Linked DNA regions of Tribolium castaneum. The protein of the gene in region 2 purifies or fractionates together with the protein of the main gene of each other region. This does not show direct contact. Links are inferred from orthologs where the notes say so. Each region holds a gene or a part of one and is shown on either strand. Other genes may lie near its edges.

Region 1 (10,173 bases), about 7.5 Mb from region 2:
TTTTGCACTCCCGGGGAGATGAAAAGGGACGACCAATGACGACTGCTTATTTTAAAACAAGCGCGTATTTATTAGGGATTTCATTAAATTATATTTTTTGACGTAACAATGACATCTACGCTTGCGCGCAGATCGCACCGAAAATATCGCGCCAAAAGTGTTGTTTTGTCACTCATCGTTCAACGTGTTACCGGAAGTATGTAGCAATTATTTGTTTAATCGTTTAATCAAAGCAAAAATTCTGATTACAGTTCGTTAGTGAGTCAATTCCTGGTGTTGAGCGCCGACCAAAAAGATAAGTATCTCTTATTTTATTAATATAACCTCATCTTTTTGATTGGTGTTTCTTTCTATTTTAAAGGCATTGGTCTGGAGTGACGGATTTTTGATTTCTACTACTCAACTGAACTTTAGTCATGGCTGGTTATCGCAAATATTCCTGCAAATACCCCGGATGCACCAGTGATTATGTTCCCAACAAAGGACAGTCCAATAAGCATTTCTTCACCTTCCCTAAGAATCCAAAGCTTCAAGAATTGTGGAGGAATGCCTGCAAAATTGAGGATCCTGTAAGTTCAAAATTTTGGCGTTTTCGCTATTTAGGGTATTTCAGAATTTACTTTTAAGTTTCTTATTTGCGCTCGAGTGTGTCAGTGCACTGCATGTACCTCCTCGTGGTCGTAGCGTGGGCAACTGTTTGCTGACAGACAAGGTAAAAGTCATTGCAAAGCAGACCTTATTTTGTTTTAAGTCTCGAGCAGACAGGCAAAACATGCCAACACTGACTGATTTAATTTTTTTATAATTTTTGTATAATTAAGAAATAATACAATACTTTAATTTTTTGAAAAATTTAATTTGTTATGTTACTCAAGTGTACAATAAAAATGTTAACAAAATCTGTGTTTTATTACCCCAAAACAACTTTTTTTGTAAGTTTCATTTCAAATTTTGTTTAAAATAAATATAAAACGTTTTCATTTTGTTTAAAATGAAAATATATTTTTTTATTTTAAACAATTTGCAATGAAACTTGTAAGATAAAAATAATAAAAAACAATATAAAAGGAATTTATTCAAACGTGGCACTTTACCGTGGTAGTAACGCACTTCAGCACCAGAGGCGCTGGATTCTCGTGTTGCCAGTGATTTACTAGGGAATTATCACTTCTTAACCCTTTCTGTTCTGTGCTACCTGTCAATTCCTAAAACGTCTACAAACATCACGCTCTGCACAAGCGCGGCGCTAAATTTAAATAACACGATATTTTTTAATGAAATAAATTTTCAGATAGACCCAAATCGTTTTGAAACCAGAATTTTCCTGAAATATTTAAATTAAAAACCTCTATATCATTAGTTAGTTACATAATTAATAAGCAAATAATTTTTTTCATTTTAATCTAAAGACGCAAGTACTAATTAAATTCACAATCACAACCTCGTAGCAAGTTTACAAACACGTATTTAATTAAATAAATAAAAAATAGTTGCAATTTTTTAAATAGCGCCTCAAGGCCGTCGTAGTTCCAATGTGACAACACAGAGATAAGTAATCCTAACACAACATTATCTTATATAGAAAAAAAGGGAAACTTAGTGATATTATCGTTGCAATGTTAAAAACATTATCAAGCATTTTATTCCACAATTATTACTAATTAGTGAATTTTTTGTAGGTTTAATTGAATATATGTATTAGGTCGTGTGTTTCAAAAAGTAGTCTATTTGCACGGCTAACGTCAAGCACAGGCAAACAAAAATAAGTGTATTTTAAATTACGTGCATGTTATTTTGATAAAAAATTACCATTTCCATAATTAGTAGTTTATTGTAAAGTACAATACATAAAAGTTACCCCCGCAGTGCGACTTGTGCCCTTTTCCCTGGCAGTGCATCAAACAGTCAAATCAATGTTTTTTGATTTAATTGAAATAAACATTTCCACTAGAACCGTGTGTAGAATAGTCAGTGATTACTAAAGTGTATACTTTTGCTCTATTTTGGGCGTTTCAGGTACTCGTCACTTTAGTGTTGCTTTGCTGGTACCACGTTGTGCTTGTAGACAGGCACTTCAGGAACCCATATTTCTGCGGTGAATTTTAATTGCACTATTAAAATGCCCTTTAGTGCAGACGCAATCGCAGCGCAAAAAGTTCAGGAGCACTTGAAGTCGCTCTATCACACGGTTCATGAGATTGAGAAGAAACGCCAACAGAGTGAACAAGGAATAAACAACATTGTTAAGTTTCAAAATGGGCAAGACGAGAAGTCCAGCCAACATTATCAGGTGTGGATTTTCTGGCATTCGCAAAATATTTTGAGGCATTTTCCGAAAAAATAACAGTAATTTGGGGCCAACATTTTTATGTGTGTATCAGTGTGATTTGTTTTCTTCTTTGTGTCAACGACATTTGGTCCCTTTACCTCGGTCTTGTTCTCAGCGGCAATCGTTACCTAATAATTATGCTACAAATAAAAGTACTGATTTCACTGCAACTTACAGTTAAAATTGTTAAAACGTAAATAATTACAATGGCTTTTAAGATCTTTGATGACATTTTTCTGATCTTTGGCGGCTTACGGTGCCCTGGAAACGCTAAATTAAAAAAAATCGCCTTTGAACCACCTTTTAAAGCTCAATTGTGTTTCAAGTAAATATTTTTGTTTACGTGAATTTAAAGAATTCCATTGTTTCGATTCAATAAGAGTTTATATGATTACTGTAATGATTATATATTGTAGATGAAGCTAAAGAGCCTCTACAAGTCCTCAATTTCGCACGCCGAGCAAGAGGAGGATTTGCTCCGTCAAGCTCTTCAAAAAATTGCGGAAATCCGCAACATTAAGAACGAACGGAGAATTCAAACGAGACATGCTGGAAACAAAGAATCGATTCGTAGGGGCACTTGGATGAAGATGTTAATGAGTTCGGCACAAACATTGCCCCTTTTCGTCGGTAAAATAGACGAAAAACCTCCTGCTCTCTGTGGTGCCACACCTGCTGACTCTGGCTATGTGGCAAAAGTGGGCGATATGGTGGCTGCTTTGGTTAAAATTCCTGATGGAGATGGCGAAAACTGGATATTGGCTGAAGTGTACAGTTATAATCACGCCTCAAATAAGTACGAAGTTGATGATATTTTGGCGGAGCAGAATCAGAAACGGCGACATACTTTGAGCAAGAGAAATGTGGTACCGTTACCCCTAATGCGGGCTAATCCCGAGACTGATCCAACGGCCTTGTTTCCACAAGGAACTGTCGGTAAGTGGAGTTACAACGAACTTCCTCCTGTTTCAAGCACCGATTATGGCAAAACTCTTCGGAAAATTGAAACTATTTTAAAGTTGTCTTTGTAAAATGCTCTGGGAAATCGCTTGGCGTCAAGAAAATGACCAGATTCTTAATAATTTTTAAGATATATTTTTTACACTGTTTGCGATTTTTTTTAAAACTGTTAATCGCAGAACAATGGTCTTTTTTGTAAAAAGAAACAGATTATTAAGAGCTATCCAACGATTATACACTTATTAGGGTTTCGGCTAGTATTTCTGGAATTATTGCCCGATGAATGTCACAAACGTGTTGAAACATTCGGTGGTATGTTAGCACAAAAAAAATCTATGTAAATTTTTTACATTTTTATAATTATTTTATGGGATGTCTCGTGGTTTTTTTGTGTCTGTTTTTGCTAATAATTTTTACTCAGTGTAGTAGATTCCTCAGAGATCATATTTGTTTAAAATTTTTATTAGTAAAGTTTAAAATTGCTCGCCAAATTTAAATTTATTCGCCATCGCCGACGAAAATTCAGAAACCACAAATATTCGGATAATGCAAGTTGAGTTCTTTTGAGCTCTACTCACATTCCTTAAAATATTTGCACAACTATCAAATTATTACTTTTTCGCAAAGGATTAATGTTTTTTTACAATTCTTTCTTATTTCGTCTTATTTGACAAATGATATAAAGCAAAAATAACAGCTAAAAAGACACTCTTTGTTAATTTATCTCTTCTAATGACCTCGGATATAACGAACGGATTTTGACACATTTTCTGAGTTCGTTATAACCGGACACCACGTAAATTAAAATGTTGGTTTTGCGTTTCAGTTATGGCTCTATACCCAACTACGAGTTGCTTCTATAAAGGCATTGTGAACAAGCCTCCCGCAACACATACTGATGAATATGAGATTTTGTTTGAAGACGCTGCGTATCCTGAAGGCTACAGCCCGCCCCTGTATGTGGCCCAACGCTACGTCATTGCCATAAAACAGAAGACAAAGCAAGCCTGACATTATCTTTCAGACACTATGTCTGATTCTGAAGCTTCAAGTTTTATGGAATAATTTATTGGGTAGTAAACATTCGAGAAACTTTCATTTTGTGTTATATTTCACCAATTTATTATTCATCTTTACATGTACATGAATTTTTTTTACATTTTTGTTATTTTCTAATCTAACTTTTAAAAAAATGGAACTCCTGAAAAAAACAGGCTGAAGGTACCTGTAATGTTGCAACATTAAAAATTATAAAATAAAAACGAAACTGTTCAGACCGTAACAAAACTATTCTCATAACCGTTACAACTACCAATTTCTCACCCAATGAACGAAAGAAACTCATAATTATCTTATGACTTTCTTTGTTTTCTTCTGACTATGAAGAAAAATTAATTTCCACACATGCACGCAACACTCGCTCAACTCATACATGTTAGCCTAACATTTAAATTTTACGAGGGGAAATGTTTTTAATTTACAGTTTTTAACTTCACTTTTTTTCTTTTTTCTTTTGTAACTTTTTTTTCTTAGTCCAAAATATCAGTGTGATAGAATTATGAGAGGTGTTACTTAAACAAAAATGTAATAATGATGTTCCTTATATTTACCAGGCCCGTCAGTATGGTGAAAAATATCCACCTCGTCTGTAACTCCTAAAAATGTAGACATCAGTTCATTAAGACACTTCATACTTGCTTCAAAATAAAGAAAACAGAAACAATACTGAAAAATAAAAATAACCGCACAGAAAGTATATTGTTTCCTGTTTTATTGTACAAGACTGGGGAAACGTACCTTGGTCTACGCATGGGCCTATAGCCAGCGTAAAATCCCCGCCCGACTCCTCGTGCCCCCCGGAACGCCCCTCTGCCCCTTGGCGGCCGGTTTGTGGTGGAAAGGCCCGGTCTATTGGTCCTTTTAGGCATGACCTAGAAAAATGGAGTAATTTTATAGGAAATGCGCCCTAAAATCGCACCTTGATTGGTCTTCCTCTAAACAACGACTCGTCCATCGCCATCGCCGTCTGCACGGAGTCCCTGTCCCCAAACTCAATGTAGGCGAAGCCTTTGGGGTGTCCATCGTATTTATTACAAAGAATAGTGACCCGGTTTATTGATCCACAACCATGGAAGTGCTGTTCCAGTTCTTCGGCTGTTGCGCCGTAGTCGACATTGCCGACGTAAATACTGCGATTATCAACCTCCATCTTCTCCTCAAGCGACATATTCAAAGGACTGGCTACAATAGGGCTCCTGTCACGCCTGCCGCTTTGTTCCATTGTACTTACTTAGTCCGGGAGGACTGCCCATGTTCATTTGTTTATCGACCTCGCTCTGGAGCTGTTTCAGCTTTTCGGCTTCCTCTTCCATCTCACGCACCCGGGCTTTGATGGCTTCGAGCTCAGGGTCGTCGCCCCCGGTGCCGTCCAAATCGGTGTCGTTCAAAAGAGCGTCGTCGTGCATCCCATTTGTTTCGTCTAAAGATTCCAAGTGATCCTCTGGACCTAATCCCAAATCTTCATTATCAGCCATAGCTGAAATTGTCAACATAACCCCACTTTTAGTACGACGAATTTTTCACCAATTGCGCGTTATTGGAGCAACTTTTAGCCCCATATTCGCACTATACTCCAACACATATGTTTCGCACAGCTACTTCAGTTAACCCACTTTGCAAAATTTGGTTTTTTTTGATGGAGCATGATTGAAAGTTGCCCTTTATGTAATAGGATGTCGGTACTCACTTTGTTCAATCTGTTACATGTAAACGCTGCCGTACTGGAGATAATTTTTTGTCAAAAGAGCACTAAAACACACCATCCAAGCCACTTTTTTATTACCGGCAAATTGTGGAAGAGTCGGCTTGTGAAGAAAAATGGCGTAGGTGACTTGCGTTGCCAACATTTGCACAACCAGGAACGCCAATCCCAATAATGAAAGACGCTAAAAACTACCCTTATTTTAAAACTTAAATTAAATAATTAAAAAATTTCCTAATTTGAACAGTTAAGAGCTATAAAAATCTAATTAATAAAAATCAGATTAGATAAATTTAATTCGTTCTCGTTTTTTATATTAGTTTTTTATTAAAAAAAAAATAAAACTGTGGTGAAAATGATCTTATTTTGACTATTTTGAACCCAAATTGTCCATAAAGTAATACTTTTTAGTATACATTGCATATGTTATTCATTATTACGATGAAATCGTCGTGTAAATGCTTTCAAAATAGCGTACAAAATGTGTAATGTTGGCTGCATAATACTTCAAATTTTTATTAAAAAAAGAAGTAAAAAACAATGAACCCGATGTAAGGAAAAAAATCCCCACTGAGAAAAATTTAATTATACAATATAACCGGCCACAAGTCAAACACAGGGTGAGTGGGGTATGATCTGCCAAACTTAACAACTTAGCTTAACTTAGGCGTCGCTCATCATATTCAGTTTTAATTTTTTTTTCAGAATTAAATAAAGCACTGATTCCATTTTAAAAGTCTTTTGGTACTACACTCCGAGTAGAAGAAAATACATATTATTGAATTACTTACTGAAAACATTTTAAACTGTTCGACAAAAAAAAATCGATGTAAAATTTTTGAATTTTTATATTTCTTATGAGAAAGGACTCGTTTTTCTATGGCTGTCCTTACCAATTTTAACTCTCTGTAATAGATTTTGAAGAACTAAACTTAGAGATCATATTTGTTTAAACTTTTTGCTGGTCCCATTTTATTCGCCGACTAAAACTCTTTATATCTCATAGACTATAAATATTCCACTTCTTGTGAGCTCTATTATAACTATCAAATTCCTACTGTCGCAAAGGATTAATGTTTTTTTACAATACTGACTATATAAACACTATTATGTAACTTATTTATTATTACTTTAATAATAATTATTGACAATAGTTTTAAATACGTCGTAAGTGATATTATTTTTCAAGATTCTACATATTTTTTTTAGATGACATATAAATTAAATAAAAACTAGGCAGTATTAAAAAAAATAAATTATTTGTTATTAAAATTAAATATTATGAGCCCAACAAAAATTTTGTTGGCCCACCTTTTACCCATCCAAAAATTAGAGTTACGACAAAAGACACTTTATTCCCAAGAGTCCACTGCAGTGCTAAAATTATCCAATTTTTATCCAGTTTTCAATATTTTTTTTCTAAATTAAATAAAGCACTGACCACTGATCGCAGCTAGAGTAGAAAAATGCCCTGTAACCATTTTTGGAAAATGTTACTACGTTAAACGGCTTTACCTAAATCTTTCGGCAAATAGCGAAAAGAACGTTTAGAAACTACAATTTACGAATTCAATTAATTTTTTATAATGTCCATGCAAAAAATTTTGTGAAACATTATTCACATGAGAAAACGGTCCTAATTTCTTTCAAACTAGCTTGTCAATAGAACCATGCAAATGTGCAGTTTAGATCGGCAACTGATAAAAAAAATAGAAAACGTGGTCCTTGCACTGATTATTATCTTACATCGTCACATATCCACTGTCATAGCTATAGAATTTTAAAACCGAATAATAAGACGTGAAAAATGCCGTGAATATTTATAATTTGATGAACTTGACACAAATGTATTGTTCCTATAGAGAACAACAATAAATGGCAGTGGTAGATGCCGGATATAGCCTCGTACATGATTTCATTCCTTATGACCATTTCAAGAGGAAATTTCCTTGATTTTGTTTGTCAAGAATCCTTATTAAAACCCTGCTGTAACTTGACTTAGGTTATGGTGGAATATTTTAATTTAAATCTGATGGCATTGAATTGAGGGCCACTAGCTAACCTTTTATACCTACACGAAAGGTGGTCGCCGGATATCCTTCCTGAAGATTGACAAGTACAAGCGACTGGATAAATTTCAGTTGTTCAAAAACAAGTTTGGCTCTTTTATTGTTATTTATTCCACTTAATTATTTTTTATGTGGTCTGTTTAGGCATATCCGGATTGACTAAACGTAAACATCAATAATTCTCCGAAAACAAAGTGTAAAACCTTCCAGCTTCCGAAGGACACAATATCCGGATTTTTAATTTCATGCTTATTTTTCGTAGTAATAGACAAACAAAAATAACAAACAAAAACTTCCTAGAAAAAATATTTCCCCTCAGATCCAGGTTTACCTAAATTATGGAAAAATTTCATTTAAAAAGTGACCCAATTTTGCAAAAAGTTCATTTCCTCCTCGGTCTCCGTGAACTTTCGCAAAATCGACAAGGCGATTCCCAAATAACAATGTTAAGTCCTGGAAATCCTTGTGATCATTCGACTGGAAAAAGAATATGTTTGTATAGGAAATAAACATTACTCAAGTTGCAATGTCAAGTTATAGGTCTTGTCTAGTAATTAATGTCATTATGTAACATAATAGTTGTAAATAGAGCTAATAAACTTTATTCATTTATCATTTATAATCGGACAGATTTTTCTACAAACTATACTTACATGCCTAACGAAGGCACAAGAGAAAATGCCATCACAATTCATTTTCAAAGTTCAAAAACTGGCAAGCACAATATTTTGATGATTTAGTAATTTGTTCATAATTTTTTAAACAATAATATGCATAAAGTAGTTTTTATTTTGATTTCGTTTGCGTTCCAGTGCAACAATAAATGTTGAAAAAATGTTTTAGAACAATTAAATTGCGGATTCTTTAAATATTGTAAAAGTATAAGTCATCATTCATTATAAAAAATATTTTGAAAACAAATTAAATTAGGTACTTCTCAATTCCACAAACTGCACTAAATTTAATTGTCTTATAAAACTTGTTTTTCTTGGAAAATAATGCTTGTTTCATCCTTCAAAAATTTCCCATTTAAAGTTCTTAATTTCTACCTTCATAGTTTATAGCCTTCCGGAAATGATTACTCGTTTGTTAATTTGTTTGTAATTTAGTAGATATTTTCCAACCAAACATCCTAACTTGGTGGTCTTTTCATTCTTATAAAAACAACCAACAATCTCACTCTGTAAACATCGATATACCTAAACACGTTAATTACATTATTGTTTATTTATTAATTTTTATGAAGAAAACAAGAAAAAATATTTTTAAGAATGTCTACCATGTAACTTCTATTTAGCAAAATCTATCTACCATCCCATAAGCTCAGTTTACCAGACATTATAAAATCCATTTAAATTTTAAAAGATGATTCACTCAGTATTACACAAGACATTATTAAGTGTATTTATTAAAATAAAAAATAATTAATAGCTCAACAGATAGATTTGAAAAATATTGCATTTATCCACTATAAGTAATAATTACAATAAGCAATTTTATTTTCTATTGTATTTTGTTTACCGTAATTAATAATTATTGAAATTAGCTATTACTTCACCTAAAAACAATTCTAGACATCTAAAAATTTAAAACCTAAGAAGATGTCCAGTGAATGCAAATACCAAACCTTAATATAATTAAAAGTTAAAATAAGAAAAAACAACACTTATTTCTGTCAATTGTAATTATGCACTAACATGTGGAGCCCCCAATAAGGGATTTCTCGACGAAATTGAGGAAAACTGCATTTAGTGAGCGCAAACCCATCGCAAAACTTGACGCACTTGACCCAATAAAATCGCATATGTGTTATATAACGTATAAATGGATTATTCAAAGACCTTGCAAAAAATCACAGATCACATCACATTCTCAATATCAAACTAATTAAAATGGCGGTGATTTATTACTCCAACTGGTAATTTTATTTTCTATAAATATAACAGTAATACTTAACAGTTTGAATGAAATTAACCGTTCAGTTTATTGCAATTAGTTTAAAACTCTGTGCTCGTTTTTAATTACGCCTTAATTAGAAAAAAATTGAAGGTTTT
Region 2 (10,167 bases):
TTGTTTAATTTTACTATTTGTTGCCCATCAACCAAAATTGAAATTATACACGACATGCCGATTTGACACATTTGGCCTTGACTGCAGGCCACTTTAAAATGTAGATGTAAAATGTAGGCTTTTAGAATTATTGCATTTATTCGCTTTTTAAAATCAGTTTTGGACGTTCAAATTTTCGCTCTTTTGAACTACAATACGCCACAATTACCGTAAAAATTAGCACAACTGGGCAGAAGAAGTGAATTATTCCAAATGCAATCTAATTTCAATATAATGCAATTACACAATTATTTTTGTTTTATAAAAAAACAGTTATATTTTAATTAGTGAATTATATTTACTACCAGTAGAACTAAAAAAAAAACACAAAAACACGCTCGTGTCGCACAATTTCGCGAAAAATTTATGAATAATTTTGTCAAAATCAATATTGGCAATGACATTTTTTGCGTATTGTCAAGTATCAACTTTTGTTTTCCATAGCACACTACAAGTGGCATTTAAACGGCAAAACTGCCTGATTTCTTCACAGAAAAACCGAATTATTAGTTTATTTTCGTCTACTTCTATGAAATTACCGTCAATTTGCGATGAATTGAAGCAAAATTGTCAATTGAAGCAAGAAATCAATAAAAATAAAATGACAGTTCCGTATATACGTTCCTGACCTCGCTTTATTTTGACAAGTGACATTTATTGGTAAACTTTTGTTTTCCACGTCCGGCCACAAAGCCCGGCCTTTGATGCCACAATGTCAGTTGGCAGCCCCTTTCGGGGCGGCCAAGGGAGCCCCCGTGGATCGATGCCGGCGGTCAGTCGCGACCTTGCCCTTGGGCCCCCGCCTACCTTTGAGCAGCGGCAGCGGCTGCAGCTCCACGTCCTGCGAGTTCCTGTACCTGGAGCTGCCTTGCGACTTTTTCGTCTTCTTCTTGAGCGAGCGCTTGGCGAAGGGATCGATCCGATCGACGAACGCCGTGGTCGACATGCTGGCTACTCGATCTGGCTCGGTTTACGCGCGCGACATTTCACCTGGACGTCTACGTCAAACGGCACCAGCCCCCTTCGAACGCATCCTCCAATGACAAGGTGCACGCCCAAAGCCCGGTCGAGGGAACGCAAGCCGAGTCGCCGATCTGGGGCCGCCTCGCGCACCACAACCACAAACAGTTAGCAGGAATCGGCGGAAAGACGCGGAAAATCGAACAACTGCCAAGCGAGTCCAGTATTTTCACCCGCCATCAGCTGGTTGCTTTGACACAAAATACTCGCGTTCAGCCGATCCATGCGCGGTGCGAACACACCAACATCGCGAACGCCGCCCAAAAGACTAGGTTTTGCACAAAGGGGCCACCAAACACCGGGGGTTTAAGCGCTATTGACGGGTTTTTACGCGATTTTTGCACGAACCGATGCCGTAAGTACCTAGGGCTGAAAATAGATGGGGGGTACTGCGCGCACCAAAACACAACTGGTTTTCACAACCAATTCACTCCGACTCGCACCAAACCCAGCCTAGGGCACGCAAAATTCACGCAATGAATTATACTATAGCCAAAACAACCCCCGGGACCTTATTTTCATTAATTTTACGCTAGTCAGATCGTCAATTGACTCGCCAGTAGTCCGACGCGACCAATCATGATCGAGTATTCGTGCCACCCGACCAATCACACGCCACTTCAGACGTCCATCTTATCGAAAATGCCGTTTAATTCAAACTTTGAAAAAATCAAAACACAATTAAATCAAACAAACTTTATTAATTCATCCACGTGTAAAAAACGATACATTTTTGCAGCTCAATGAAACAAACGCCTCAATAAATCACACCTGATCAACCAAATCTAAGGCATGTGTCGTATTTAACAGTTTTAACAACAAATCTACCTTATGACACAAAAAAATACCAATTTACCACATTTTTAAACAAATAAATCCAAACTTGTAATTTTAATGAGTCAAGAAGAGAATGAAAAAATCACAGTGGACCAACCAAACATTGGTCACCCATCAACAGATCGGCACGAAACTAACACAACTGCACCAAATAATTAAATCAGCCAAATTTAATTAACCAAACCCTAAAAATGTGCCATTGGCGCGCTTGTTATCGCATTGATAAATAAATGCCCCACTGGCCGGCTGTAATCTCCTGTCAAGTCCGCCTTAACCTTACATTCCGCGATGCCTCTTTAAGATGCTTCCGTGTCCTGGCTGGTACTGCGGCCGCCAGTACCTCCCCAATGGCAGTCTCAGCGAGTGCGGGTCGTGCCCCCGGGGCTTCCGGCGCAACGACACTACTTTTATTTGCGAGCCGTGCACCGACAGCCCCACGTTCTACGACTGGCTTTATTTGGGGTTTATGGTGCTCCTGGTCCAGATTCTGCACTGGTTTTTCATCGACATGGTGTCGATGCGACGAAGGTGAGCCCCCTATTGCCCGTCACACCTTCACTGTTCGTTGTAGCTTCAAAAAAGACGTCCTAATTTTACACTTGACTGCGCTGGTGGAAGTGGTCATTTCGGGGCTCTTGTCGGTGCTTTTCACGCACCCGTTCGGCGAGTTCCAGGTGCGGAACTGCAGAGTGCGCAGCTTGGCCGATTGGTACACTTTGTTGCATAATCCGGCCCCGGATTATGAGAAGAGGGTGCATTGTACCCAGGAGGCTGTGTATCCCTTGTAGGGCTACTAATTGATTATACTACTTTATTGAGTGTTTTTGTTTTAGGTATACGCTAGTTTTTATTTTTTATGCCCTGACTTTGATTGTTATGCTTTTGATAAGGCCATGGGTTTGCCGGAAATACCTTCCAAGGCAGAGCAAAATGTCGATTTATGCCGCCATGTACTATATACCGATTTTGGTGGTGGTCCATGCCCTAATTGGGGGACTTCTTTGTACGTAATGATTGCGCCAAAAATCACACTTTTGATTGGTTTTGTTCCAGATTATGCGTTCCCAATTTTGGTCGTTATTTTGTCAGTTATTTCGTGTGCTTATCACTTTGCCCTCAAAATCAACCAATCGATTCCCTCACTCATCATAACAACAGTTGTAGACCCGAGAAATGTGGTAATCTTAGTGGGCCATTGGTGTTTACACGCCTATGGTTTAATTTCAATAACTCAGCTTAGTGACCCGACTTTTCACTCATTGTTGCTACTGTTGGTCCCACTGCCGGCTTTTTTTTACATTTTCACGGCCAGGTTTACCGACCCGACAATATTTACGTAATTTATTTTTTAATAATAATAATAAACTAAAAACAGATTTATTTTTTCTCCTCCTGAACCTTCCGCTCCAAATCGCTAATTAGCGAATCGATTTCCTCAACTGAGAAAACCTTCTTCTTCACAAATCTATTGTTTAAGTGGCTTTTGTCCTAAAAATTTCACTAAAAAGGGAGGGAAATCTCTCAAAAAGCTTACCCAAAAATTGATATATTCGGGCGAAATCGTTTCAAGGAACAATATCCGGTCTTCTAGTTTCTTCAAACGGGTGTAGATATTTTTCGGGGTTGGGGTGGTCAAACTGAGTTGGATTTCCAGGTTTTGGAGGCGCTCCTCAATGCCGTTTTGGGGGATGTATTTGGTCAGGTAGTCCGAATTTGTTTGGTCGCGGTGGTAAGTGTTCAAAACCCGACTTACTGCAAAAAAATTAGTCTGAAATACTTGTTTTTCGAAAATCGTCCGAAAAGTAGCACTTTTCCCCGACATTTTTTGCTAAATTTATAGAGGGTTAGTCTGTTAAAAATATATTTCTCGTGTTGACCGTGCAGTTTCTTTGCTCTTTTTTTTCAGTCAATTTTTACTCGGCGCCATGGCCTCCTTGATGTATTATTTTTAACGAAGTTGTCTGCATACATCAAGGAGGTCATGCTCGGCACATTTGTGTCCTGTCCGTAAAGTCTTAATTTTTTCGTTAATTTTTTTATTTTCAGATAAAAATGTGTTCTCTAAACATTAATGAAAAATGTCTGGTGCCAAATAGAATAACCCTGTGCAGTTGTATACTTTTAGCAGACTTGTAAAAATTGGAATAAAAATCGTAAAATTGTGATTTTTTAAGGGCCACGAACCTTGCAAATGGCCATTGGAGTCTTTGCGTTTTTGCAAAACCGCATCGACTCGGGCGCAAGTGAACTCTGAACTTCGATTACTTGTGCAAAACTCTCTCACATTGCTTATGTTGATTTCGTTTCGCTTCATCTCCATAAAATTCTCGATTCGTTTGCTCAAGTCCGCGTTTGAGGCCTTGATTTGAATCAAATGGGGCGAAACGTTGGGAATTTCGACTTTGGGCTCGATTTCGAGCTTGAATTTTTTCGGTTTGGGGGCTATAAATGAGAGCCAATCAATTTTAGACTTTATTTACTTGACCACCCACATTCTTTATTTTCCTTCCACTGTGGAGGAGTTTCAGTTTCAGCGTAAATCTCCTTTTTCCAAATAGGCACACTCTCTTTAACCTTGTTGATGCACCAGTCGGTGGCTTGCAGCGCCTCGGTACGGTGGGGGGACGCGATTGCAATTACAATGCTAGCCTCCTTGACCCCCACAACCCCCAGTCTGTTAAACAAAAAAAAATCAAAATTTGGCCCCAATTTAAATTTTTCAAACCTGTGATAGATTGCGATATTTTCGACTTGAGGCCACTTGGCCCTGATCTCCCCGCACACTTTTTCGAGACACTTCAAAGCCATGGCTTCGTACGCCTCGTACTCCAATTTAAGGACGGTTTTTTCCCCGAAACTGTCTCTGGTGGTCCCCATAAAAACCGAGACTGCGCCACATTTCGGCGAGGCGACTAGATCAGTCAACGCCTCAACACTTAGCTTGTCTTCGGTGAATTTCAAAAAATTCATTTTGGGGCCCTAACCGCCACTCAGAGGTGGGATTATTGCTACTTCGTCGCCCTGTTTTAACACAATTTCGACACTTTCCACGTCGCAAAACTCCTCATTGAGGGAGAGAATAATGTTTTGGGCAATTTCGGCCAAAAAATACGTGCCGACGAGTGTTTCTAAAAGCTTTTTGTAGGAGATGGGGGACGGCAGGTCAAGTTCGGCGGATTTTTGGCCCACGATTTCTCTCGATTTAGCGAAAAACAACACTTTGACGGTCACTAACATATCATAGTGTTGTTGCGCTTACATAATCACCGAATTGAAGCAAAATAATTACTTTTATCACTACTCTGTTTATATTTGAAACGACATATTTAGAGCGCAAGTTGTCAAATTTTTAACCTCACTTTCTTACGAATAAAATGCAATTAAAAATCTTTTTTTCGAATGCTTTGGAAGCTGTTTCCTTTTTTCCTGACAAGAATGCTCTAAACCTAATTTGCTGGACAAATTAGTTAATAATTTGACTAATTAGAGCAATCCTTAAATGTATTGCTAATTGTTTTTTTACAGCCGTAAAAAAAGGTCCCAATGGCTGTTTGTCCGAACATGATTTTTTACAGTCGAAGGCCCTAACGAAGGGCTTAATTTCCTGCAAAAATAAAGAACATTGCAGGATATAACGGGGGTGAAAAAAAAAAACAAAATAATTAAAAACGTAACGAGAACAGCTTGTTTTATTTAAACTTGGGCAATTATTGCCCCCGAAAATGCGCTTTGCTATGACAACAATTGTTTGATCAATCAAACGTTATGGAGTCGCTCCAAAGGCCCCAAATAATCTGCCACGTGCAGCAAGCCCTGAACTACACCGTCCACGACGTCAAGTGGATCCCCTGTTCCGCGAAATTCGTCTCAATCGGGGGCAAATCAAACGGGGCTGGAATTATCGAGACCTACTCAATCAGTGGTGATGGGATCGAAAAAGTGGCCGAATTCGGCAAGAAAGACCACTTTAAATGCGGCACGTTTCACGCCTCGAGTTTAAGAGACCGCCACCTTGCGACTGGCGACTTCAGCGGGCGGTTACAAGTCTGGTAAGTCGTCCAAAAGTTGGCCAAAATTTTTAAGTCTCGTAGGGATTTGGAGGAGAATTTAATCCCGATTTATAAGACGGAGAAGCACCGCGGGGTCATTAACGCCATTGATGGAGTTGCGGGGGTTGCCAGTGGGTGCGGGGCCCCCGAAATAGCCACCGGATCTAAAGACGGTACTGTAATTTTTTATTGAAAGTCATTGCTCGAACATTTTTAGGGGCTGTCATGGTGTGGGACATTCGGCAAAAAGACACCCCCGTGGCCAAGTTCTGCCAAAGCGAGGGCTCCCAAGGCCGCGATTGTTGGAGCGTAGCTTTCGGAAACTCGTACAATAACGAAGAACGAGTCGTAGCAGCGGGTTACGATAACGGCGATTTGAAAATCTACGACCTCCGGAACATGTCGGTAAAATGGTCCAAATGCCTCAAAAACGGAATCGTTTCGCTTCAATTCGACCGCAAAGACATTCCCATGAACAAATTGGTTGCCACAACTCTGGAGTCGAAAATTTTCTGTTTCGATGTGCGCACCCATCACCCCACTAAAGGGTACGCCCAAGTGGTCGAAAAGGCGCACAATTCGACCATCTGGTGCGCCCAACATTTGCCCCAAAACCGGGAGATTTTCATGACTACGGGGGGCACCGGATCGCTCTGTTTGTGGAAATAGTGAGTGTGTCAATTGTTACGACTCAAACCAACGGTCTTTGTAGCAATTATCCGGACCGGAGGGTGGAAAAGGACGCTGATGGGCTGGAATATGGGGTGGCAGGGGAGTTGCTTCTGCTGCAAAACAGCACTTTGAGCGACCAGCCCATCACGAGCTTTGACTGGTGCCCCGAGAAGGCCGGGCTGTCGGTGTGCTCAGCCTTCGACCAAACCATCAGAGTCTTAATTACGACAAAACTAAATTTGTATTAATTTTAATGAATAAAATGACCCTAACCTCAATCACTTGACTTTGACAATCAGTCAACCACGTGACACAAATCCGGCCGTTTGATTGGCCAGTTGTGACAACAACTGTCATTACAAGTGTCAAAGTGACATTTCAATAATTCAAAGTTCAGTTTTTGGTGAAAGTTCGTAAAAATGGGTAACCGCTCGTCTCTGCTGCTCCGTGAGGAGGAAATCGCCCAAATCCAGGAGGAAACAGGATGTGAGTACGCCCATGTTTCGTTTCCTTGTAACCGCAAATGTAGTCACCCCCAACCAAATCGAGCGTCTCTACTCCCGTTTCACGTCCCTGGACCGTGGGGATTGTGGCACTTTGAGCCGCGACGATTTCCTCCGAATTCCCGAGCTCGCAATCAACCCTTTGGGCGAGAGAATCGTCAATTCGTTTTTCCAGGAGGAAGGCTTGAACGATAGGGTGAATTTCAGGCAGTTTATGCGCGTTTTGGCCCACTTTAGACCCATCAAGAAGAACAAAGAGAATAAACTGAACTCGAGGGAGGAGAAGCTGAGATGTAAGCGAATCAAAATCAAGGGGTGACGCTTTATTGAGTTTTTCCAGTCGCTTTCAAAATGTACGACCTTGATAACGACGATATGATCTCAAAGGAGGAGCTTTTGGCGATCTTGCACATGATGGTGGGGGCCAACATCAGCGAGGAACAGTTGACCAGTATTGCAGAGCGCACTATCGTGGAGGCTGATGAAGACAGAGACCAAATGATTTCATTCGAGGAGTTTTGTAATGCGTTACAAAGGACGGATGTCGCCCAAAAAATGAGCATTCGCTTCCTGAACTAGGCGTGTAATGTATGTGTAATATATTTATTATAATTGTAACACTTAACCAGAGATATTTTCTTGTTACTATTGTACTTAATAAATAAGAATAAAGTAGTTTAAGCCGTTGAAGAGACCGCCAGTTTCTTCAAATGATCCATAAACACTTGCAACGAGACGTCGTCGGTCAAAACCGGGGCCCCGCCGTCCTGTAACACAAAATTTTGTTACACGTCTGAAGCAAGCGAAGCGAGTGAAAGCGATAAAACCACCCGATTAGTAACAAATACTACTACAAAAATTACACCTTTAACCCCACAAAAAATAAAAAAAATAAATACCGCACTCGCAGGTACCGCCTAAAATCCACCAAACACAGAATTAAAACACAAACAAAACACACAAAAGTGGTACTCACCCCTCCGTACGCGTACATATTGTTATGTGTTTGGCTCGGGTTGACTTTCGATAGTAAAAACCTGGCTTGGGAGCCCCCTTGTTCCGTGTCGATGTACCTAGGCATGGGGAACCTCGTCTGGAGGATTTCCTGGGCGTCATCCACCGGTGCTTGTAACAATTGCCGGAAATTCTCGTACTCTGGCATGTCCTGGTACTTGAGGTTCCTCCATTGGGCGATTGTCTCACCGTGGAAAATCAAAATTTGGAAAAATGTGTCCATGAGAAGGATTCGATCGGGTTGAATGGAACTAGTGTCGAGGAGGACGGGTTCAGGGGGGCCGTTGAAACTATAACTGTATAAAATCGGCTGGATCATAATGAGACTTTGGGTGAGGTCCTCCCGCATCAGCATGTGGCGGTAGAACGAGGTCTCGTCTGGGGAGTTGTTGAAAACTTGGAGGAATTGGGAGCGGCGCAAATGGTACATGAATTGGGGATAGAGACTGAAGTTTTCACTCAAACGGAAACTGTTAGGGTCGTCTTTGTTGTATTCGCCGAATTTTTGGCACTAGAAATAATAAAGTTCGAAATTTTGATTAATTAATTTTTAACTGTTGTATTACCAGACGAATTAACATACGGTCGACCCATCGCAACACATCGGGGCTTTCGTCGGTTTCAGCTCGATAAACGGCCATGCGGGCCATTAAAACAGCCGCCGCTTCCTGGTCAAAGCCGGCGCTGATGTGGTGGATGTTGGCCGTGGCATCGGCCCAATTTCGGGCGATGGTTGTAACGCGAATGCGCCTCTGGCCGCTCGAATGCTAAGAAAAAAATTGTTAATAATTTCCTTTCCTTCAATTGAATCATTTACTTGATATTGTGTTATGAACTGAATGCATCCACGGCCTCCTTGCGGTATGGGGGCCGAATGTTGATTGACCACTTCGAAAAATAGGGCAATTGTTGCACTCGGCGTCAAAGTGCACATTTTCCATTGGACTGTGTTACCCATTCCGATTTCAGTGTCCGAAACGAGGGGACTTTTCACATTGAGGGACACACAAGAGCCAATACCTCCTTGCACTAGAAAATAAATAAATCAACTTTCTAATAAATTCGAGAAAATTGCAAACAAAAGTAGAAATAGGCAAAATAAAAAAATATAATTAAAAAACTATTGACGCCAATCGATCATTTTACATTTTACATCTAATAGTTTTGCGTAATTATGAAAATAAAAAAATTTAAAAATTTGCGATTGTTTTTTGTCGATTTCCTGCACTTTACCTTTGAGTTCCCTTGAACACTTGACTTCCAGTGTGGCATTGAAGGCCATTTTCAGCTCATTCTTGGCATCTCTTGCAAAAACCCGCTGAAACGTTTGTTTAAAAAGCGACGAATTGAACGAGTCCCCCATAACCATATGCCCCCTAAAACCCCAAAAATCATTACAAAAAACACCCCCCAAAAAAATTACCCCGTCGAATTGCAACACTGCTTCATCTCCATCAGCCCCGTTTGGTCCAAAGCACACGAATAAATATCAACACAATGCCCATTAGTGGCAGCCCTCATAGCCAACCCCTCATAATGCTTGATCGCCTTCTTCATATACTTGGCGTTATCTTTCTGAATATCATGATGCGACCTGATTGGTTGTTTCAAATCGTCGTTAACCACCTGACCCGGCCCTTGCGAGCAGGGCCCCCCTAGGAACATCATAACCCGGGCCCCCGTATTGGCATACGTGCACTCAAGGAGCCCTATTGCTATGGACAAGGCCGCCCCTGTTGATCTCAAGGGCCGCTTGCCTTGCCCCACAGGCCAGGGGTCTCTTTGCAGCTCCCCGATCAAATCAGTCAGACTCATATCGCACTTTGAGATGGGTTGGAGGAACCGACTGGCGGGCGGGATGGGGGCTTGCGGGGCCCCTCGCTGGGGCTGCGCCACGGCCACTTTCCCAATCCCGAGCATCTCCTGGATTTGTTTAGCTGTCAGGTCTTTGGTCCCCCGAAAAACGTACGATTTGCTACAGCCCTCAGTGCCCAGTTCGTGAACTTGGACCATTTTCCCGAATGTGATGAGCC
Region 3 (10,033 bases), on a different chromosome or scaffold from region 2:
CAGGAAGAAAAACTTGATTTTTGGTCTAAAAACTTGTTTAAATCCTCAGAACTTGCAAAAATAATGGCATTTTTGACGTTGTTCTGTGATCTAATGCCTCAAGCTTGTCGCTAGAGAAATGTCAGACATGATTTTTTTTATCACCTTTTGTATTATTTTATTGGATCTGTAAAAAAAAACGAAAAAGAGTCGATGACGTCATTATGTACTTAGTAGACTCATCCCGTATATTTAATAGATAAGAATAATGGACATTATTATGTAAAATTAACAGAGAAAAACAGACATTTTTCGCCTTTACAGACCAATAAAAATTACTAGTCGGTACGTATTTAAAAGATAGAGTAATAGATAATAAATAACTAACAGATTAATAGATATAAGCATACTATGCCGGTGATGGTTTCAAAGTTTATTATGGAAACCTCTAATATAACGGAGAAAAACAAATTTTTTAAAATTTTTATGCGGAGTGAATCTACAAAAATTATATTTTTAGTAGATATATATGAAAAACTAATGACGCACATAATTCAGAGTTTGCTATTATATTTTTCTCTATGTTTGTGAATTTTTTCAGAATTTTTCTACAATTCCTTCGAATTAAAATTTATTAAATGATTAATAAATTAACTAATATTAAGAAGTGCAAAAAATTATTGTACGGCTTAATAAAATATTTACTATTATATTTTTATTTAAAAATTTTTAACAATAACATTAAACTCGACATTAAATAATTTAATGTCAAGAAGTCAGTGTACTGTCCTGTGTAAATTGGTAAACAAACATAAGAGTGGTTTAATCTAGAAATCCACGATTGCAAGTGATTTTGATTTAAGAGAGTATTTATTAAACTGACTGAAACAGTATAAAAAAACTTGAGTTTAGATTATTTTCTGCTTTTATTTTTTGAACTGAAGAAATACAAAAACTTTGTCAGTTCCAGTTTTTGTTAATGAAAAGAAAAATGGTAACAATTGAGAAAATGGAGTTCCTGATGAACTTCCAAGCAAAAACTTCACAGTAATATCCTAAACCAGAACTTTTAAATTAGTCCATAACACCAATATTATATTATAGTGAAGTTTATAGTTATTTATTTTCCCAGTAGTCAATAGAAATGCTGTTTCTACTTCGTGCCTCAAAATTTTAACGTTTTTAATATACCTTAAAAACAGGGCAGAATCCTAACAATATAATTGCATGTCCAAAGGTCAGTTTTTTTAATCCGATTTTAATAATGTTATAATAATAAGGCGTTAATAGTTATGAACATAACACATAACATGTCTGAACCTTAGGACAGTTAGCAGAGAAGAGACAGCGTTCTTTATAGGGGAGCTTTTTCTTCTTCCTTGTTACCACCTTGTAACTGGGGCTGTGCGTGCGCATCCACGAAGAGTTTGTAAATTTTACAAAGCTTGAAAATAAAATAGAACTAAATAAATAATACCCAAAGAAAAATGTTTTATTAATTTTTTTCGCCTTTAAAAAAAAGCTAAGTCACTCAGATACGGACAATAATTTCGAATACGTAAGTTTTCAGATCAAAATAGGCGAGAAAATAACATAATTTTGAACATTATTTAATTAGGAAATGTTTGAGCCTGTTTTACGAAATTTCAATAGAAAATAGTGTCTAATGATAAATTTTTAGGGACCATAGCGGCCACAAATGGCGACGCCAAACAAGGCGTCCAACTCAAGCGCGAATTGGGCCTTTTTTCCGCCATAAATCTAATTCTTGCCGTCATGATAGGATCCGGAATTTTCGTCTCTCCAGCTTCAGCACTCGAACATTCCGGTTCAGTTGGAATGTGTCTAGTTGTATGGACAGTATGCGGAATAATCTCCCTTCTAGGTATTTTTTTTTCGTAAAAAAATGTTTTTCCAACAAACATTTTAGGAGCTCTGGCTTTTGCCGAACTAGGCACTGTTATCCCACGTTCAGGGGCCGAATACGCCTACTATATGGACTCGTTTGGCCCCTTGCACAAATTCTGGGGCCATTTGCCCTCATTCATCTACTCCTGGGTCATGATTGTGATAATCAAACCGGCAGAAGTCGCTGTTATTATACTGACTTTTTCCGAATATTTGTGCCAACCGTTGCTAGATCTGATGTGCATACAGGACGACTCTGAAGAGGTGAAGAAGGCGGTCAAAACGGTGGCCTTACTCGCCCTAGGTAGGAAAAAACTTATAAACCCAGAATAACTAAAAATAAAATAAACGTAAAGAGAAAATTCTAAGTAATATGTAAAAAAGTAACTCTGTAACCAAGCCAATATTACTTGAGAAACTACGCTAGATAATAGCTATTCAGTTTGAAATCGTACTCGTTGTAGGTATAATAACATACATCAACGTTTCAAGCGTGAAACTCTACGTCAAAGTGCAGAACATTTTCGGCGGATTTAAAGTATTCGCCTGTTTGGTGGTGATTTTTGGCGGCCTTTACGAAATCATCAAAGGCAACACTGACAATTTAAACCGGGGCTTCGAAGGCACAAAGTACACACCGAAAAGCATCGCTTTGGCCTTTTATAGCGGACTTTGGGCTTATGACGGATGGTAATTGTAATTGTAAAAACCAGGCCTGGAAATGGCACACACTCACCATTTTTTACAGGTCTGCGGTCACTGTAATCACTGAAGAGATCAAACGACCTGAAGTGTGAGTAATTTTTAATTCCTGAACAAAAACGTGACTGAATAATTGCAGAAACATCCCGAGGAGCATAATGATAAGTGTTCCCATAGTCACCGGTTTGTATGTCTTTATGAACATGGCATACATGACCGCATTATCGATACCTGAGATGATAAATTCGCCTGCTGTTGCTGTAACTTTCGGTGAAAGGGTTTTAGGCCCTTTGGCGTTTTTGATACCACTAGGAGTGGCGTTAGCTACGTTTGGATGTGCCCTAAGTATACAATTTGGGGTCACTAGGTACCAAAAAATTAATTTTGTGTGTCTTTTAACGAATTAAATAATTTAAGGGTGTGTTATGTGGCAGGACAGGACGGCCTAATGATCAAAAGTCTTTCCTTCGTTCATCATGAACGTCTAACTCCGTCATTCGCTGTCGTTTCTCAGGGGATTTTATCGCTCCTTTTTATCGTAGCTGGGGATATTGTTGAACTGATCGAATTTGTTAGTTTCCTCATTTGGATATTCTACGGGCTGGCTTTTGTCTCGTTACTTGTCTTAAGGAGGACTATGAAAGATGCTCCTCGACCCTACAAAGTACATATAAAATCTTTTTTTCGGTTTGGTTTAATGATTTTTTTCAGGTGCCTACATGGATTTGTGTTTTCGTTTTATTGGTAGCTATTTATTTGAGTGTTACGCCCATTATTACGGATCCAACTCCGAAATATTTGCTCGCTTTGGCGTTTATTTTGGTGGGGGTTTTGGTTTATTATTGGTTTGTTTACAAGAAGCGAACACCGGAATTGTTGATGAGTATGAGGTTTACAATTTTTTGTGGGGTAATTTACTAATTGTTGCAATTTTTAGGAAAGTTTACACGTTTTATTCAGATTTTATTCGCGGCTGTGCCACCCGATAATCCAAATGCTACATAAGAAATTATTTATTGAGATGTTATGTAATTTATAATTGCAGTTGTAATAAAATGAAATATAAACGGAAATGTATTTTTACGATAAGAAACGATAAAAACATCATAAATGATTTATTATTCTTTTGACAGATAAGAACGTTAAATACATATTTTATTTTACTGAATAAAGACCGCTCAATGAAATAATAAGTGTAGTCAAGTTGTCAGTGATACGTTAAATAAATTAGTTGCAGTGAATAAATTAAATTCAACTTGTAGAATTTTGTTTAAAACTGTTTTTCAATGGAATTTAAAAAAAAACTGGAAAGATTTTGCTTAAACTATAGGTAAAAAATTGTAGAATTAAGTCTAAAAAAATCAATAAATTTTAGGAAATTTGTAAAAACAACGGAGGAAATCACTTAATCAGGTCTAGAATGCATTATTTACAAAAAATTATGAGTAAACTCTGAAAATTCGAAATATTTGACCAAAAAAAACACTTTCAATAAATGCGTATTAAAAGCACGCAAAAATTCACAACACGCACTGAATAATATTAAAAAAGTTATGTAAGAATTAAGATAAATGATCAACAAAAAGGTAACTAATTTTTGCAAAGCTGTAAACAAAGTTTTATTCATTGATTTTTGTTACGTTATCACGTCGATTTTCAGGAGAGCTCTGAAGGGTTAAACGAAAAGCTAACATATAAAAAAACTTTTCATTGCAATCACAAATTTACATACAAACAAAGGCAATAAATAAATAAAATCTTCAACAACAAAACGTTCAATCCTTATCAAGCAACAAATTCGAGTGCAAATAATCGTATGAAAGATTTTCAATTTCGCTGAACAAATCGGACCCAAGTCCGTCCACAAACTCGTCATTACCATAATTACCAAACTCCAACTTTGGCATTTCTTCACTTTGATTTTTATTATCAATTTTCTCGCTTTCGTCCATTCCGTTTGCCATCACTTGGTCCTTGACATTATCCGAAATATCGCTCATTTCTTCATCACTTGATTCGTTATTTTGATCCAAACTGCCACTATTTGACTCTGAATCACTTTCAATTTCTCTATCACCACATGCGATTAAATTGTGGTTTAAAGGGTGGCTATTATCGGAATAAATTTGTGTTAAAACACAGTCTGTACAAAAATCAATTGAGTCATTTTTGCAAGTGTTACAATGCCATCTGGTGCCAATTATTGGTTCATCGTTGCAATAATCACACTATAAGAAAATAAATCACCAAAAAATTGGCTAAATTATTATTATTTTTTACTTTAAATCCCACGTGTTGGAAATTAGACCCACTCTCATTCTCCCTAATTTTAACTTTTCGTATCCGTTTTAAAAGTTCCAGCTGTAACTCACTGTCACTTTTTTGGGGCAAAATCTCACTCTCCTGGTGATAAACCGAAGGTATGAGATAATTGGAACTTGTAGAAGGCTGTATCTCATCTGTAATTTTCGAACTAGGTCCAGGAACATTATCCAAGTCATTCATTACTACAGGAACACATAAATCGGGGAAAAAAGTTGTAGGTTTCCATAAATAATGATTGTGACGCTGGTGCTTATGTAATGACGTTCTCTACAAAAAAATAATTTTTTGGTGCCTTAAAATAATGTAAATTCACTTTGTGTTTTTCGGCAGATTTTGGAATTCGGCCAGGAATTGGCAATCCAGCTTTGTACAATTTCACAAAATATTTCTGAATTCGGCTCGTGACTTGCTGAATTGTTCGATTACCTAAGAAAATTTAACCAAGTTTTAATATTTTTCGCCTAATTAATTACCTAAAGCATCAGCGATTTTTTTAAACCGTCTCATTTCAACCGGTTCAGGCGGATAAATTTGGAGCAATTCTTCTAAACGTTTCTGCTCTTCTGTTGTCCATTTCTATAGAATCAAGCAATTTTATTTGAACCGATTTTACAAAATGTGTTACCCCATGTGAAATTTTCGTTTCTTTTTTCGGCGTTTCGGGTTTTTTCTTAACAGTCTCAGAACCGTCTGAATAAATCAATTTGAAACTTTCCTCCGGGATTTTAATATCGTACTTTGACCAGTCAATAACCGGCAACTAAAATGCACCAAATGAACAAAATATTCCTTGCTTTATTAAAAATTATATTTTGTTCTCTAATGTAATTAGGTGAAAAAAATCTCAAAAAAATTGTAATTACTTCAGGCATGCGGTGCATATCTGGCATTCCCAAAGACTCCCCTTTTATAATTTTCTCCAAGACTTTGGCCGGGTCTGCCAGTGCTTCTTTCTTCAATTCTACTGCTTTGTTATAGTCCTGAAGACTTTTTTAATCGAAACGTAACTAAATTCACACAACTTTACCTTTATTGCTTGTTTTCTCTGAGCACACAGAATGAGCAAGTTTTTAAGAACCTCACTATAGTCCTTATTTCCTCTCAAAGCCAAGTGATCCGTTTCGAAATAGTACAAATCTTCTTCAGGATTTATGTCCGATTCTTGCGTATTTGTCATTTTGTTTGTAAAAAATTGACTAGATATTACACAATTCACTCTCGTATAACTTAATTTACAAAAAAATACAAGAAATAAACACTACACACGTGAAATTGACAGCTGACCTGTAACCTTACTTTTGACAACCTTAAACAAGACCAAATTTACGAAAGTGGTTCCGTCCGATCTTCATTTTCGTTAATTTTCCTTAAAGCTAGCTCAAGTAGAGTAGTTTGCATCAGTGGTGATAAATTTGGCGTCTTGGATTAAAGTTTAGATTGGGCGAACAATCGGTCATATGGTCGCAACTTGACATTCGAGGTTAAGTTGAATCATTAAAATGTGTTTTTATTTGAATTAGTTTTGTGTGTTTTGCTTGATTAACAGTTTAATTATACCATGATGTTTACTAAAATTATTACACGAAATTTTCTGAAAGACTGCGATCGTGTTTTGGTAGGGCTTCGCCCCTTCTCCCTGTCCTCAAATCGTAACTGTGATGAGAAAAAAACGCAAGAATCTCCCCTAAAGAAACTCCTCGACGAATCAGCAACCTTTGAAGACTTGCACCCCCAGACACAAGAACAACAATGGGCTACTTTGCCATACCCTCAAGGCACCAAAATTCGCAAACAGGGTGTCTCATTTATCGAAAAACCTAAATATGATCCACGCGAGTCCTCGATAATTTTATTTCCCGGTCAGGGGAGCCAATTTGTCGGTATGTGCAATGACTTGCTCAAGTACCCCATGGCTAGGGATTTGTTTGAGTTAGCGAATTATATTTTAAAGTACGATTTGTTAAAATTGTGTCTTGAGGGTCCCAAAGACAAATTGGACCAAACAAAATATAGTCAACCGGCAATAATGGTCAGTTCTTTAGCGGCAATTGAACGACTGAAAGAGGAGAGACCTAGGGCTATTGAGAGTTGTGTGGGGACAGCAGGGTTCAGTTTGGGGGAAATTACAGCGTTAGTGTTTGCGGGGGCGATTGGTTTTGAGCGAGGTTTATTTTACAACCAGTTGGCAAAAAATTGAATTTTATTTGGAATTTTTTAAGGGTTACGATTGGTGCAAATTCGGGGGGAAGCAATGCAATTGGCTAGTGAGGCGTACAAGGGGGGGATGGTCACAGTAATGTACGGTCCTGACACGAAGTTAAACCAGGCACTAGTCAAAGCCAAGGAATGGGCAACTGATAAAGGCGACTTAATGCCCGAATGTCAAATTGCCAATTATTTGTACCCCCATTGTAAAGTCATCTCGGGGAGCGAATCTGTAATTTTTTTTCTTCATTTTTGTAGTTGTTATGCAGTTAATTGTAGGCGCTTGATTATTTGGAAAAAAATGCCAAAGAATTAAATTTACGTAAAGTTAAAAGACTTGCGGTTAGTGGAGCTTTCCATTCCAATTTAATGTTACCAGCGGTTGAACCGTTTCGAAAGGCATTAAATAAATCAGAAGTGAGCAATCCTGTAATTAGTGTTTATTCAAATGTTGACGGGAAAAAGTACAAAGACGCAGCGCAGATCAAAAAACAATTGCCGAAACAGGTAATTTAGAAGTGTTTTTTTTTTCGTGTTTTGAGTTTTTCTTTCTCCAGATTGTTAAACCTGTAAAGTGGGAACAACTTCTTCATGTTGTTTATGAGAGGAGTCAAGGGGATTATTTCCCAAGGACGTTTGAGTGTGGCCCAGGCACGTCCCTAAGGGCTATCCTTAAACAAGTGAATGCCAAAGCATGGACTACGTGTTTTAATATTCAAGTGTAGAGTTTATTTTGAATAAAATTTTTGAAACAACTATTATTTTTTCTTTTTCCAATTCCCCAAAACCATTAACGAACATTTTATCTTGAAGCCTAATAAGGCAAAAATTAAAAGGGGCATCCGAATGTGCTTCAAATTATTTATCGAATGGTGAAAAAAAATAATTTAAACGAAATTGCTCGTTTGTGAAATTCGGTTATTGGAGCAAAAAGTCGAAAATGAACCTCAAATGTAGAGAGCACGCAAATTTGAAATCGCGCGCCTCTCGATTTGACGTCTCGACGAACCAACCAATGAGATGTCCTGACTTGATGTCACGCGGTGGTCTAGTGGGGACGCACTTTTTTCACAAGCGCGTCGTTAAGTTTTTGCTTTTATGTGTTGTTAAAAAAGTGTTTTTCGCGTAATTAGTGCCAAATTGACTGAAATCAAAGTTTTCTATTGGAAATCTGACGAGATGACATCATCGGTTGCCGGCTGGAAACGAATTCCAAGAAACGCTGGAGGACCGGTTCAAAAGCGAGGGAGACGCTACCTATAAGGTTAGCAATTTTTGGTATTATTGCATTTTTATCGAGAAAACAGAGCTGATAAAGGGCCAAATTATGTCTGAACTTTTATTTTTGCCTTGTTCCGATGCTTTTCTCCGAGAGTTTGATGAAACAAGACTCGAAAATGGAAAAGTAGGCCGGGCAACGCGATACCAACCTATTAAATGTCCCTAACGAAAAACAAAACAATGGTAGAAATTTTGTCAGAAAATTCCATAAATGTGATTTTTTGGGCTTATTTTCTTCTCACTCACTAAGTTTTTTCAGAGGTATTTTTAGTTTTTCACTAAAAAAAAATCATAACTCTAGAACTAAAAGTCGTAGGGCGAAGCAATTTGTTTCAGCGAATTCTACGATTTATTTTAAATTTAAAAAAAATCTAATAGAATTTTCCGTTATTTTTGTGGATCCCACTGACAAAAGTAAGAAAGAAAAGCCACCAATACAAAGAGACAAATAATTATGACATTAGCAGTTTTTGCTCAAGGTTTGAAACAGAATGAATTAATTATTTGAGTGCATCAACCAAGATAAAGACTTCTTTTAAACAACAACACAAAATACTGTTCATTAATCCTGGCTTAATTAATTGGTTACTTATTTTTGTGTTAGTGAATACGGACTGAAAACGTCCGGTTTAATTAATTTCCCCAGTTTTTCCACATGTGAGAACAAAAAATACCGAGGGCAAAGTGTATACGCACCATTTGACGACCTCTTTATTAACAGTTAGTCATTTACAAAATTACTTCAGCGGAAAATTGTAATTTTTTGTTTGGTCTTCTCTTACGACTCGAGTTAAATCAACTTGATGACTTTTTTTTGACCATAAGCGTTCGTCATTGAAAAGTGTTCGCAATCAGTTGTACGTTTTATTGACAATATAAATTTATTACATAAACTTTTACAGATGAATATAAATTGACTACCTTAAGGCAGTTTTTGAATTTATTTACATAAAAAACCAATCAATTACATGGTACATAAATTTCGTTGTAAATACATTCACTATCGCTAGAAATATCTACAATTTGATAAAAATTTGTATTCGGCATGAGATCATCATGTGTAACAACTTTTTTGGTAAAAAATAACCGAAAAATACTTAATTACGAGTCATAAAATCAACGATGTTTCTCCCATCATCATTATCACAAACATTCAACGCTTAATATCTTATTAAATCTCCGAATAATTGGTGCAGTTGGGTAAGGGGGCCGACCACCTCCCATCTGGGAGACACTTAGGCCTTGCCTCCAACCTGGCCTCAAACCCCGGACTGCAGGTGATCTGGAGCTCATCTCCAGGCTCGTAGGCAAACTTCGTGGGGGCCACCAGCCCATTGTCGGGCTCCCCCAAATAGGGGCACCGCGGTTTGCAGAAAGGGGGCGGGTGCGACCAAAACCCAGTCTCGGTACAAATAATGCTGGCTTCGCCCTCCAGCTGGTGGGCCCCCCTGCAGGCAAACTGTACTAAACTGCCCACGGCATAGCGGCCCCCGTCCATGCCCGCCGCCTCCGACTGGATGAGGTGGCCGTTGACGGGAATCACCGGGGGCGGGCATTGAATAGCTGGGTTAAATTTAATAAATCAATTTTGGTTTTCGAAATTTTGGCGGTTACTTACGGACGCATTTGGGCA

What was found.
Region 1: the proteins of Mocs2B (region 2) and Sgf29 purify together in Drosophila melanogaster (affinity purification with mass spectrometry; 5 studies listed by BioGRID, with this or other methods). This does not show direct contact. The link is inferred for Tribolium castaneum from reciprocal best matches to the Drosophila melanogaster genes Mocs2B and Sgf29.
Region 3: the proteins of Mocs2B (region 2) and Atac1 purify together in Drosophila melanogaster (affinity purification with mass spectrometry; 4 studies listed by BioGRID, with this or other methods). This does not show direct contact. The link is inferred for Tribolium castaneum from reciprocal best matches to the Drosophila melanogaster genes Mocs2B and Atac1.

Annotation. Positions count from the first base shown.
Region 1 is NC_087396.1:14,027,565-14,037,737, reverse strand, and holds Sgf29 (SAGA-associated factor 29), read left to right. Parts: upstream 1-1,689; 5' UTR 1,690-1,967; intron 1,968-2,016; 5' UTR 2,017-2,119; coding exon 2,120-2,290; intron 2,291-2,745; coding exon 2,746-3,265; intron 3,266-4,115; coding exon 4,116-4,300; 3' UTR 4,301-4,387; downstream 4,388-10,173. Other genes in the region: Pabp2 (polyadenylate-binding protein 2), read right to left, coding at 4,908-4,944, 5,087-5,220, 5,268-5,530, 5,580-5,823. UniProt on the Drosophila melanogaster protein: Component of both the SAGA and CHAT histone acetyltransferase complexes, which both predominantly acetylate histone H3.
Region 2 is NC_087396.1:21,501,757-21,511,923, reverse strand, and holds Mocs2B (molybdopterin synthase catalytic subunit), read right to left. Parts: upstream 4,867-10,167; coding exon 4,622-4,866; intron 4,571-4,621; coding exon 4,389-4,570; intron 4,339-4,388; coding exon 4,081-4,338; intron 3,649-4,080; coding exon 3,431-3,648; intron 3,385-3,430; coding exon 3,274-3,384; 3' UTR 3,237-3,273; downstream 1-3,236. Other genes in the region: wdb (serine/threonine-protein phosphatase 2A 56 kDa regulatory subunit epsilon isoform), read right to left, coding at 847-985; JNK1/MAPK8-associated membrane protein, read left to right, coding at 2,198-2,424, 2,468-2,680, 2,730-2,899, 2,950-3,236; Mocs2A (molybdopterin synthase sulfur carrier subunit), read right to left, coding at 4,876-5,133; Wdr92 (dynein axonemal assembly factor 10), read left to right, coding at 5,662-5,945, 5,988-6,118, 6,163-6,613, 6,658-6,865; elm (calcineurin B homologous protein 1), read left to right, coding at 7,037-7,103, 7,147-7,413, 7,461-7,699; Sec23 (protein transport protein Sec23A), read right to left, coding at 7,798-7,887, 8,020-8,037, 8,097-8,645, 8,701-8,901, 8,952-9,163, 9,368-9,510, 9,558-10,167. UniProt on the Drosophila melanogaster protein: Catalytic subunit of the molybdopterin synthase complex, a complex that catalyzes the conversion of precursor Z into molybdopterin.
Region 3 is NC_087394.1:37,100,343-37,110,375, forward strand, and holds Atac1 (ZZ-type zinc finger-containing protein 3), read right to left. Parts: upstream 6,277-10,033; 5' UTR 6,092-6,276; coding exon 5,942-6,091; intron 5,895-5,941; coding exon 5,778-5,894; intron 5,675-5,777; coding exon 5,540-5,674; intron 5,491-5,539; coding exon 5,388-5,490; intron 5,341-5,387; coding exon 5,228-5,340; intron 5,182-5,227; coding exon 4,870-5,181; intron 4,818-4,869; coding exon 4,365-4,817; 3' UTR 4,287-4,364; downstream 1-4,286. Other genes in the region: b(0,+)-type amino acid transporter 1, read left to right, coding at 1,661-1,864, 1,910-2,191, 2,352-2,577, 2,636-2,680, 2,729-2,956, 3,007-3,253, 3,301-3,472, 3,527-3,594; beg (probable malonyl-CoA-acyl carrier protein transacylase, mitochondrial), read left to right, coding at 6,473-7,079, 7,134-7,351, 7,399-7,626, 7,677-7,844; hig (locomotion-related protein Hikaru genki), read right to left, coding at 9,572-9,963, 10,019-10,033.